Oryzias latipes: one gene and its partner. The protein of the gene in region 1 purifies or fractionates together with the protein of each later gene. This does not show direct contact. Links are inferred from orthologs where the notes say so. Each region holds a gene or a part of one and is shown in the gene's direction. Other genes may lie near its edges.

Region 1 (5,783 bases):
TGCACCCCAGGGTAGAAGCAGCCAGTGCTGTGGGAACTAACTTGCAATGAATCGACTCCTCCATCCAATCTACAGCTTCGATCAACCAGACCCGAAATTAGCCAGCTGTCCGGCAATACCTCAGAGGTCAAACCAAAGCAGGGTCAGGCCAACAACCCCATCAGCACCAAGTTATTGTTTGGAAAATGAGTGGACTGGCCAGTACACTGCAGGACCTCATGGATGGCTCAAACCAACAGACCAACAAATCCATTTCTTTTGCTTTCTGAATTCGACCTGTGACCTCTGGACTCGCCCAATGATCTCGCCTCCAGTTGATGGACTCTTCATGTCTTCTTTGAGAGAAGAACAACGATCTCGTTCATGACTAATGGCACTTAATTGCGCCTTCTTTGTTCACTTTTCTGTTTGTATAGAGAGAAAAAAGGATACAACAAAAAAAGAATAAAACCAGGCTTGTAGGGCCCCTCTTATTTTATTGGTTTTCACTTTCCACATGCATCTGAAATGGTTCCATCCAGTCATTGGGTACAAATCAAGGTGCATGTTCTGTCCTGCTCCTGATTGGCTTCCCAAAAAAAGGATGAGGCTTTTACCAGAACTAAAGGGCTGGACAGATGATTTTCTTGATGGATCTCTGTAGATTGATTGATTCTTCTTCCACCAGTTCTATACTATTTGACACGGATGGATCTGTTTGATTTTAAAACCTTGACTTCAGAGGTTTTTCAATCACCTGGTTTCAAACCATATGGAGTACAAAGTACTTTAACATTTTCACCTGTTTGTAATTTTAGCATTAATGTTTTTTGAATCATCGGTGTAAAAATAAGAATTGTCCTCTTGACCAAAATCCCTATTGTATTGACACCATTGCTTTATTTGTAACAGATTCTTCAGGTTTATAATCAATATGTAGATCTTGACAAAACACCGTCCCAATCTGTACATGTTATGTCAGACAATTTGTGATTTTTTTCTTTTTTTTCCTTTTTTCTTTTTCTTTCTGGAGATCTCTGGTATTAAATGCACTGGTTTTGTCTCATCATCTTTATGAATTGAGATGTTCTCCAGCGTTCACCACATTTTTTTTGTTCTTAATTTTCACATCAGTGAGGCATCAGCTTTTAAACTTTTTTTGAGGGTGGTGGTGGAGGGGGGTCATCCATCCTAATATGGCATCAACCATGGAAAATAGCAGCCGTTGCATCTTGAAAGGGAGGGATTGTGGGAAAAACGATTCTACTTTCATGAATAAATGAGGGTAGACATCTTTTCATGTATGATTTTGTTGAAAATAGCTTAAAAATCTTTGAATTTAAAATGAAATTCAGAGGCTTGGAAATGTTTCTACTCATTTTTTCCACCCTAAAACCCTAAAACAATTTCACACATCTTTACAGGTTACCTGATAACCTGTCGGTTATTGCTTTGACATGAGGTATAGTACTTCCAGTGTCAAACATTTCATAATAGACTGGTTTCTTATACAATTTTGATAATCTTTACATGCATAAATCCACATTTTAAAACATTTTTTGTTTATAACTGTCTCACTTTACAGTTGTTGCTGTTAAAATATGTATTTTGTCTTAAAGTTGCACATTTAATGAGAGAAAAGCTGTTTCTTTGAGACATAAAGAAACAATATAGTTCCATAAATAATTGTGTTTAATTTTGAAAGTCTTCATTGAGGTATGCATAGTTGCAATACCTAAAACGGTCACTAGGTGGACCATAGCAGAGGTACTCCAGAAAAACAGCTTCTGCATTACAGTTAACTGGGTCTGTCCTTTTGTGTGTGTGTGCATATATATATATAATGTGGAATGGAAAAATTGATCAGAGTTTGGGAGTAAACATTTTGGTCACACTAGTTAACTAGTGAGCTTTACAAGAGCCTTACTAGTGGAGCTGTAGAAAATGTGTATGCAGCTAGTTAACCAGTTGACTTTTTAGATTGTCACTAACCAACCAGTAAGCACAAGTATTGCCCACTAGTAAACTAGTACATATTTCTAAACATTACTAGTTAACTAGTTCACATTTATGGCATTTCGTTTTAAATAATTGTACTTTTGGCATTACTAGTTGGGCTTAAAACAAGGATGCCGATTTCATTCTAGAACAGCTTGACATAGAGCCTAACATTTGTTACGTGTTGCTTTCATGTTTTTCCACTAGAGGACACTACACCGCTTTACTACAGTACTGGGAACCTGTACATTTAAAATTTCCAGAAATAGCCAAATGATCCTTTCAAATAGTAAATATTTTATTTTAGGTTTTTATTCACTCACGATTAAAACAATATGCTTTTAATGCTGTGTACATTTTTTATTTGAATTTTTAGCTTTTGGTGTTTGTAAAATCCAGCTTTCTGCCCGGAACCTGAAGGCACCAGATGAGATCAACGGCAACAGAGGAAGTCTCCAGCAGCAGCGTGGATATGTCGGACCCGGCAGCGCAGGCCTCACAACCCCGGCTTCCACAGACCCAGTCCGCTGGGTCAGCTGGGTCCGGTAATGCTGCAACAGGCTCCGGGTCGGGCAATAGCGACCCGGCTAGGCCAGGACTCAGCCAGCAACAGCGCGCTAGCCAGAAGAAAGCCCAAGTTCGAGCTTTCCCACGGGCGAAAAAGCTGGAGAAACTTGGCGTGTTCTCCGCATGCAAGGTAGCTAATGTAGCTAGCCAAAGTTCACAACAGAGCCGTCTTGAGATTTATTAGCGTTTATAAATATATGTTTAGAGCACAAAGTAGAAGTGGAGCAACGTCAACTAATTCCCCTCCATCGACTGTTGTAAAAATAATTTATATTCACAAATCTGTAGCCAAACCCATCAGCTAGCGTAATTGATCCGTTAGTCATTGCGGCCGCTGAATAGCCGTTCACTGTTTGTGCTTCGCGTCCTCAGGCCAATGACACATGCAAATGCAACGGATGGAAGAACCCAAACCCACCGTCAGCCACCCGTCTGGATCTGCAGCAGCAAGCAGCCAGCCTGAGCGAGCCCTGCCGCAGCTGTGGACATGCTCTGGGTACCAACTATTCAGCCTCCATTTAAACCACTGACTAAGAACAGGAGATCAGTACCGCTGAAGGGCTCATCACACTGTTTAATGCGTCTGAGGGACGACACTACAGATTCTGCACAAGATACACGGTTTGCCCTTTGCAAACATGCCCATCATTACTGTGATAGTCAGAAAATAAACTAGTTGTTCCTCCTCTGGCTTTGGGATTAATGGCAAAATTTGTGCAGAAACTGCGACTTTAAAGTCTCATTCCAATTATCTTTTGATGTAATTATGATAAGGCAGATTTTGCCTAAATCAAAAAACGTTTGGGTTTCTAGGACATCGTTTCTGAAGAGCCGTGTTCGTGCATTAGAAACCCACCTGAGTTTTGGGTGGAACTGTTGGCACGGACTGAGCCTGCTCGCATTTCCCATCATCCCTTTGTGTCCGCGCTCTCCTTACAGCAGCAATTACAAGCTTTCTCCAACGGCATGTTTTCGTCTGCTCCTGATTTACCACAATTTGAATGAAGAAATACTCAGAAACTCAGTTTAAATCTTAATTTCCTTTATCTATGTCCTCCATTACGAGAAAAAACGCTACAAGAAGATGTTAAAAACACCAAAAACAAGATTTTTACTGGAATTGGTTTTTAAGAATGAACATTGCGGTTAATATTGTGCGTCATGTTTACAGTCAGTATTATTCTGGTGCAATATTCATGCATGTATAGTTGTTTTTCCAAGTTTGAAGATAAAACGTATATATATATAGTGTAGTCTAGAGGTCTGCAACCTTTTAACACTTTTGGTGGATTTCTAACCAACAACAACCCAGTAGGAGCTACAAAGTCTTACTTTAGCCTTTTAAAAAATAAGACATTAGTTGGTATTTTTGTTATTGTTGCTGTTGTTCACTTTTCAACATAGCCCTTCAGGCGTCGCCACATTGAATCAACTTTCACGTTTTTACACCTGATGCCCGTCCTGACACAACCCTGTATTTTTATCTGGGCTGGGGACCGGCACAGGGGGACCCAAACTTGGGCCCCCTTGTTGGCTACATACTTAGACAGCAGCATATATATAATGTTGTTTTTATGCATAAACAAAGAGAAAATATCTGGGTTTGTTTTTAAGAAAAATGAGAAATGGTGTATAACTTTTGGCCGAGATTCATATGACTTCCTTTCAATAAAGGACACCTTAGACAAAGGATCCTCTCAAAGCAGCTAATGTTTTTATTGGTAGTGTAATGTCACACACTTTGTTTTACCATTGGGGGTCCATCTCAGCCAGAAAAGAGTAAATCGAACAAACTAAATTTAAATAAGAGCTAAATAAGTAACCCTTATTGTATATTTCAAACCACAAGGTACCGTACACTTAAAATCAATAAGAATTGTTTTAAAAGAATTAAAAAATCTGCTTTATAATCCAGTGCTTCTAAATTCTGGTTGTGCTTGGTGACCTCCGATTGATTTTCTGTGGTTATCGGCGCTCAACGTGTTTCAGTTTTTAGTTAATGTTTTAGTTTGACTTGTGTTACGTACTGTCTTTGGCCTGTTTGAAAAGAGTTTGAGGTTGTCTATTTTACTTTTCTTTAAGTTACTACTTAATTATTATTTTTTTACTATAAAGTTACTTTTTCAAATGAATTTTTTTTTACTTTAGCCAAAGAGCCACAATGAAGGGGAATAAGAGCCACATGTGGTGATGAGAATGTATTAGCTGCACACATCTTTTTAAAATACTTTTACAATGTTGCTCTAAGTTGAACTGTTTTTGAAAGAGAAGAATCTCTTTAAAAACTAGTACGTCAATTGTTCTGATAGCTCTTTTTTGCAGTATTTACAGATTTCTACGTTTCCCCAAACTTCAGTACAATTTTGAAAATATAAAGAGATCCCAGTAGAACATATGCATTGACTGTACGGTAATTGTTTTGCAGCGGAGCACGTGTCTCATCTGGAGAATGTGTCTGAGGAGGAGATCAACAGGCTGCTGGGCATGGTGGTTGACGTGGAGAACCTGTTCATGTCTGTGCACAAAGAGGAGGACACTGATACCAAACAAGTGTACTTTTACCTCTTCAAGGTAGCGTTATGGTTCTATGGGTTTTGGGGTGTTTTTTTTGAGCGTTTGGGTGGAAGTGGTGAGGGGCAAATTGATGTTTTATTCTCTAATCCAAGGGGGCCAAATATGGCCCAGCAAAGGTCGTCTTTTGGCCCACCAAGCCTGTAGAGGCCACGGAGTGTTCAGTTAAAACCCCTTAACCTCTTCTATTCATTCATGGAGCGACAACGGAAGTAGCAAACGGACAAGAGGCATTTTAAACAAATATGGGAGGAGGATTATTTTTCTCCAGAAATCTCTTCTCAGGCTGTTAGTCTTCTTTGTCAGCAGTCCGTGGCTGTACTTAAAGAGTACAATATACGCCGACCCTACGAGACTAAACACGCAGTTTTATCCAAACACAAAGGTGAGGCGCAAAAGACAAATTCTAGAGAGTTCCAATCTAAACTTTTGTCACAGCAAGCCACCCTCAAGATGCCCTCGGCAGCAGGGGACAGCGCCACGTTGGCTAGCTACGAAGGTTCGGCGTTAAATGCCGAGAGTGGGAGATCGAGAGAGATTCAAAGAAAAATGTTACTAACTTTTAAGTCTCACTAATGTGTGTTGCCTTGAAAAATACTAAATACAAATAAATAACCTAAACTATATTCTTTATTCTCTTCTTTTATTTCATGACTTGCAAAAAAGTC
Region 2 (5,844 bases), on another chromosome or scaffold:
TCCCCAATGACTCCCGCATCTATGAGCTCCTGGGGGGAAATCAAGTGGATCCATACAAGGAAATCAACATGTTTAAATCCAAGAAAGTTCTCATTTTTACATTTGTCTACTCTTAAATGTATAAGAAAATTCCACTTTCTTTTGTCCTTAAAATGTTTGTACAGAAACCAATCTACTTTAAGTCGGATTTAAACTCTACCTCCTGTCATCATCTGGATTTATAGACAGAGCTCAGACATTGTTTAAAAAATCTGGAGCATGGTAAACTCAGGTCACTACGGTGGGTATTTACCTTTATCTTGTAGGTAACTGGATCATATCGCAGAACATGGCCGACAGAAAGCATCACATTACTCTGCATACAGGCCTCCACTATTGCCCTGCAGTCCTCTGCAGTTGTCTGAAGACACATGAACGAATCATGGTACCGGTACATTTAATCATAACAATAATAATTTCAGTTTTCCTACAAACACTTACTGCCAATGGTTTCTCCAGAAGAATGTGGTATCCCTTTTTTGCAAAGGCCACAGCAGGATCCTTAGAAAGATTTAAAAAAAAAAAAAACACAGTTCTATTTATATTAAAAACACCGTTTATGTAGAAAAAAAATCATGTACGGGGTCTGTTTTTTTTTACCTTGTGAAGCCGATCTGGTGTGCAAATTAACACAGCATCTGCAAACTTCTCTCTATCAGCCACACTTTGCCAGTCTGTTAAAAACAGAATGCAGCTGAGAAGAAAGGCGTTATGGGCCACTGTATTCAGTTTTTTTTTATGCTATAAATTCATACCTTCAAAGACATTTTCATTCTCTATTTGATGTTGTTGTTGAAGATTGGTACGGGCAAACTTTCTTGGGTCAGCAACGGCAACAACCTGATATAGAAATTATTTTAAAATAAATGAAGGAAAAAAAAGTTACTCATAACCGGTTACAAGCACATTTTATATAAAAAGAGGGAATACAAGTCATGGACCCTGGGACATGCCATTGAAAAAAAAAAGACGTGTTTCCTGGACTGAATAATTTAGTATTTTGTGCGCACAAATGCTGCAGAGGTAGAGCAGTCGACATCTGATTGAAGGATCCTGCCCTGGGCACCCATGTATCGAAGTGCCTTGGGCAGGACACTAAATCCTGCACAATACCCCTAGTGGTTATAGTTTGGTGCCAGTGTCTGGCACACATTTAGTGTGTGAATGTGTGTATGCATGGGTGAATTGGACTGTGACTGCATAGTGCTTTGGGCTTTTTAGGAAGGTAGTAAAACTGTATATAAATATACATCATTTGGCAAAAATTAGGACTTTAATAACAATTTGTGCACACAAATGAACATTTTTGTCATCAATTCCCTCTACTAAAATAGAAAATTTGTGGGCAATTTGTCCCTACAAAATGCTAATTAAAATTATGTATATATATATATATATATATATATATATATATATATATATATATATATATATATATATAGTTTTTGCACACAAAATACTAAGTCATACCCTTTAATTTTTCTAATGCCAGGGATCCGAAAAAGTTCAATTAAAATTGTGTTTACAAAAAATGTATTTGGTTATGATGCTTTTATTTGTCATATGTGTCAAATGAGGCTCTAAAAACAGGGGAAGGAGGAGAAAGAGAGGATACCTTCATGCGTTCAGGATGGATTAATGCAAACTCGGAGTAACCCGCTCCCCGACAACCAGCTCCAATCACGATTGCTCGGACCGTGGCAGTCATTCTTTAAAACTCAGCTGAAGATCAAACATGGTAAACATTTGACTAGGAAGATCCACCGGTTACGAACAGCACAGTGTTTTCTATAGTAAAAGAAACGTATTAAAGATCAAACCATTATTAATCACTATCCTATTTTACAGACACAACAACACATAGGAGAAGGCGTATTTCCACATCATAATTTCCGGTAAGACCACATGATTCGCCACTTCACGAAAGGATGTTATGTCTACCTAATTTTTCCAGCACGACTATCAAAACCTGCTGGATCTTTTTTGTTTGCCTCCGCGCTTTGTCTAGACGAAACTGCAAAGTCATCGGAGGTCAATGAGTAAACATGTTCTTCACAAAGACGATAAAAGTCACACAACGCCTACTTCTTTGTAAATAGTTGCAGCCTCCACGCGCCAGTCAGGTCGCTGTCCATCTGCTGCGTTCAATGTCCCTCGTAAACAGCTACAATTTTCCTGTCATAAACGCGTTATGTTGTGAAAAAAAAAAAGAAAAAGATAAACGTTAGCAATGGTAAGGTCCTTAATATTCAAATCATCCTGCGTAAAAAGTACAGGTGCTTTGTTCATAACACATTGCCAGTTAAATCAGTTTAATATGTTACCTAAAATGTATCTTAACATGTATCTCACTATTTTTAAGGCTGCACTTTTTTTGTCACCGGTCGTGGTTATTAAATCTGACTTAATCTTCTAACTGTCGTTCAACTGTAAATATTTCTCAATCGTAAAACAGCTAAACTATGAACGTTTACAAACGCTGTTGAGGTTGCTGTTGTTGCATTATCAAATAATCTCAAACGCAACCCCAGCCGTTGGTTCATACGGCTTACGTCATCAAATCCTACGTATTGTCGCGGTCACATGACGTCAGCGGCTGTAGCACAGGCTAAGCTTTCACAGCAACGATAAAAAAACAACAACTGATAGTTTTCTGTAGTGTTTAGTGTTCTCGTAGTCAAAAAAAGTTTCTTAAATCAACAAAAGTACCTCTTTAAACGCCTGGCCGTGTTGCTATATAGCACCATATAGAAATTTTGATACAAATTTCCATACATCTGTCTGAGTTAGCTTTTTGAGGTTAGCGCTTAGCTAATATAAACATGAATGTAGACAACGTAAATCCGTCTGTTACAACAGGAGTTGTGTCTACGACGTCTTCAGCTTCAAGTAATTGCATTGCCAATGACAATGCAACAACCAACGTCAGCAGCATTCCTTCGGTCACAAACAATGGTAACGAAACATAATTTTGGTCAACAAGATCTGTGCTAACAATGTTGTGCTACGACGATGCCCCATCTGATGATCTGACATTTGTGGTTTTGCTAGTTAAGTCAATTTGATTCACATACTGATGCATTCCTGAGTCTTTTATGCATATTTGGAGGATTGTCCGACAAACGTTTTTCTTTATCTGTTAAGCATTTCTTACATTTCGTTCTGCTAAAAAAATAAAACTAAATTTTTTAGTTAAGCTCCGCCCCAAAAAGTGTTGTGTGTGTATATAAATATAAGTACATTTGATTTAAGTGATAATTACAACTTTGCAGCTGCAGCTTCAGCAGCCCCGGCAACTCCATCAGCAGACTCATCAGTCTCCAATGGAGTCTACGTTCCCGCTGGCATAACCAATGGGGATGTGAAACCTGCTGTCTCCACCACACCTCTGGCTGATTTCCTCATGCAGCTGGAGGATTACACTCCTACGGTAAATTTATCACCCTTACCTTTGAGTTAGTGATGGGGATGCCTTGGCTCAAACGAGATAACTGCTGTATTTTTGTTTACGTCGTACTGGCAGGGTAACTACATGTAAAAATATTTAGATTATTTAGTCTCTCTCGTGTATTTTTCCATTTCTTTTGCAGATTCCTGATGCAGTTACGGGATATTATCTGAACCGAGCTGGATTTGAGGCTTCTGACCCAAGAATGTAAGTGATTGAAACTAGAAATATGTCCATATTTTGTGTGATATCAATGCTTAAGTAGTGATCTGCTAAGTTGTAGCATGATTAATTCTAAAGATAATCAGATTTTTAATTTTGTGCAAAGCTAAAAAGAAATTACATACTAGCTGATCTGTGTTCAATAACAGTCATGTTTTCATGCCTGTATTAGTTATGCTTGGGGTTTAATGTGTTTGTCAACAGAGGAAGCAAAGGGATTTGGTTGGGTTTATTTGAATTGGAATTAATTGTAAAGTGCTTTGAGCTGCTCGAAGAACGATAAATACTTTTTAAAAATAAAGATTGAGTTGATTTGTTTATGAATTTATCTGGAATTCTGAGAGAAACAAATATACATCCTAAATATGCAGCTAAAAAACTAGATTTAAATGCATAGAGAGCTTGTGTAATGCTTAACTGTGTATGTGTTGCTTAAACATGCAGGTTCAATTATAGTATTACAATTACCCATAATTTCCGGATTATAAACCGCTACTTTTGTCACACGCTTTCAACCCTGATTCTTATTCAATGATGCTTCTAATTTATGCATTTTTTTCTTATTATTTTATTTTCATGCGTTTTTTTTTAACGGCCACTCGAGCAAAACGGGTGGAGGAGCGAGTCAGGGGGAATGTGGTATATGTTTTGAGGAAAGACGCAAGTTTTATGTAAATTCCTGCTTTGTGAATGAATAGCACGAACAGACCCTCATCATGGAAAATGCAAGACGAAATGCATATGACGCAGCTTTCAAGTTAAAAGCAATCGTTAAAAGCAGTGTGAAAAATACCATCACCAACGGGTTTGGAGAAGCCGGTCTGCTGCGTGACGGAGAGGACAGCGCAAACACAGGAGAGAATTTGCCTCAGGATGAGAGGGACAAACTGACAATGAAGGAGACACAGAGAGAGTGTGTAGCGAAGTCTATCTGATGCTATTCCAATCCGACACTGAGGAGGAAGACCTCAATGGTTTCAGAGCACAGGAGGCGTGTGCCTATAAGTTACTGCTGCTCTCAGTGACTTTCACCGGTAGTTTTTTTTTAACCAGCTCTGTTAGTGCTGTTACAACCATATTGCTGCCGTGTTCCTGCCGCGTCACAGGCACTGTTTGGAAAACAGCTGTGACGGTGTGGGATTTTTGATCACCGCAGTGATGAAGCAGCAGGAGTTGCTGTGTCGCGGTTTACCCCCCCCCCCCCCCCCCCAAAAAAAAAAAACAACAACAACAAAACAAACAAACAAACACAAAATCTCCCTGGCGGCCACGTCGCTAATGAATACCTACTACAACGCAGTATTCTTAATTAAAAAATAACACTAACTACTAACTATCTAACTAATAAACTCACTACATAGGTGTTGTAGAATGAGTATGTGTGTCAGCGCACTGTGTGTGTAAGAGGAAGGAGCCCGAACAGAGCAGGAGTGAGAGCCTCCCTCTTGCGCTGCACTAGCTCTCCCCTTCCTCCGCTGTACGCGCTCCTTCCTCTTTCTTACACACGCCGCTCGTGGTTTCAGCACATACACATCCTCATTCTACGACGCATGTTTCAATGTGGGCACATGCGGCTTATAGACTGGTGCGGCTTATGTATGTACGAAATGGTTTATCCTTTAAAAATGTAATGGGTGCCGCTTATAATCAGGTGCGCTCTATAGTCCGGAAATTACGGTACATATCCTTCACAGGTTGTTTTATTTCTTGTTGCTTAATTTTTTTTGTACAGTTTAATGTGAGGTTTAGTCATGCTCCACTCTATGGGTTCACAAATATTTCAACCCTATGTGAAGACTCACTTATAACTCTCTTTTGGATATTTGCAGAATCCGTTTGATCTCCCTTGCCTCTCAAAAGTTTATCTCTGACATTGCCAATGATGCCCTGCAGTACTGTAAAATGAAGGGAACAGCCTCTGGAAGCTCCAGAAATAAGACGAAGGTGAGTGGTGGTCAGTTTTTAATTTGTATTGTAATGATTTTTTCTAATCCATTCTTTTAGAAAATTCAGTTATTAAATATAACCTTTTTATTGATCATATTTATAGGACAAGAAGTACACATTGACGATGGAGGACCTGACTCCTGCCCTCTCTGAATATGGCGTAAATGTCAAAAAACCTTATTATTTTA

The links. The genes of interacting proteins can lie anywhere in the genome.
Region 2: the proteins of kat2a (region 1) and taf10 purify together in Homo sapiens (affinity purification with mass spectrometry; 8 studies listed by BioGRID and IntAct, with this or other methods). This does not show direct contact. The link is inferred for Oryzias latipes from reciprocal best matches to the Homo sapiens genes KAT2A and TAF10.

Annotation. Positions count from the first base shown.
Region 1 is NC_019866.2:6,156,665-6,162,447, reverse strand, and holds the start of kat2a (histone acetyltransferase KAT2A), read left to right. Parts: upstream 1-2,370; 5' UTR 2,371-2,404; coding exon 2,405-2,674; intron 2,675-2,916; coding exon 2,917-3,040; intron 3,041-4,969; coding exon 4,970-5,115; intron 5,116-5,783. Other genes in the region: rab5c (ras-related protein Rab-5C), read left to right, coding at 1-40. UniProt on the Homo sapiens protein: Protein lysine acyltransferase that can act as a acetyltransferase, glutaryltransferase, succinyltransferase or malonyltransferase, depending on the context.
Region 2 is NC_019865.2:7,761,148-7,766,991, forward strand, and holds the start of taf10 (transcription initiation factor TFIID subunit 10), read left to right. Parts: upstream 1-2,611; 5' UTR 2,612-2,861; coding exon 2,862-2,994; intron 2,995-3,311; coding exon 3,312-3,469; intron 3,470-3,629; coding exon 3,630-3,694; intron 3,695-5,538; coding exon 5,539-5,653; intron 5,654-5,759; coding exon 5,760-5,844. Other genes in the region: uncharacterized protein LOC101174996, read right to left, coding at 1-29, 293-400, 481-540, 640-713, 795-879, 1,655-1,747. UniProt on the Homo sapiens protein: The TFIID basal transcription factor complex plays a major role in the initiation of RNA polymerase II (Pol II)-dependent transcription.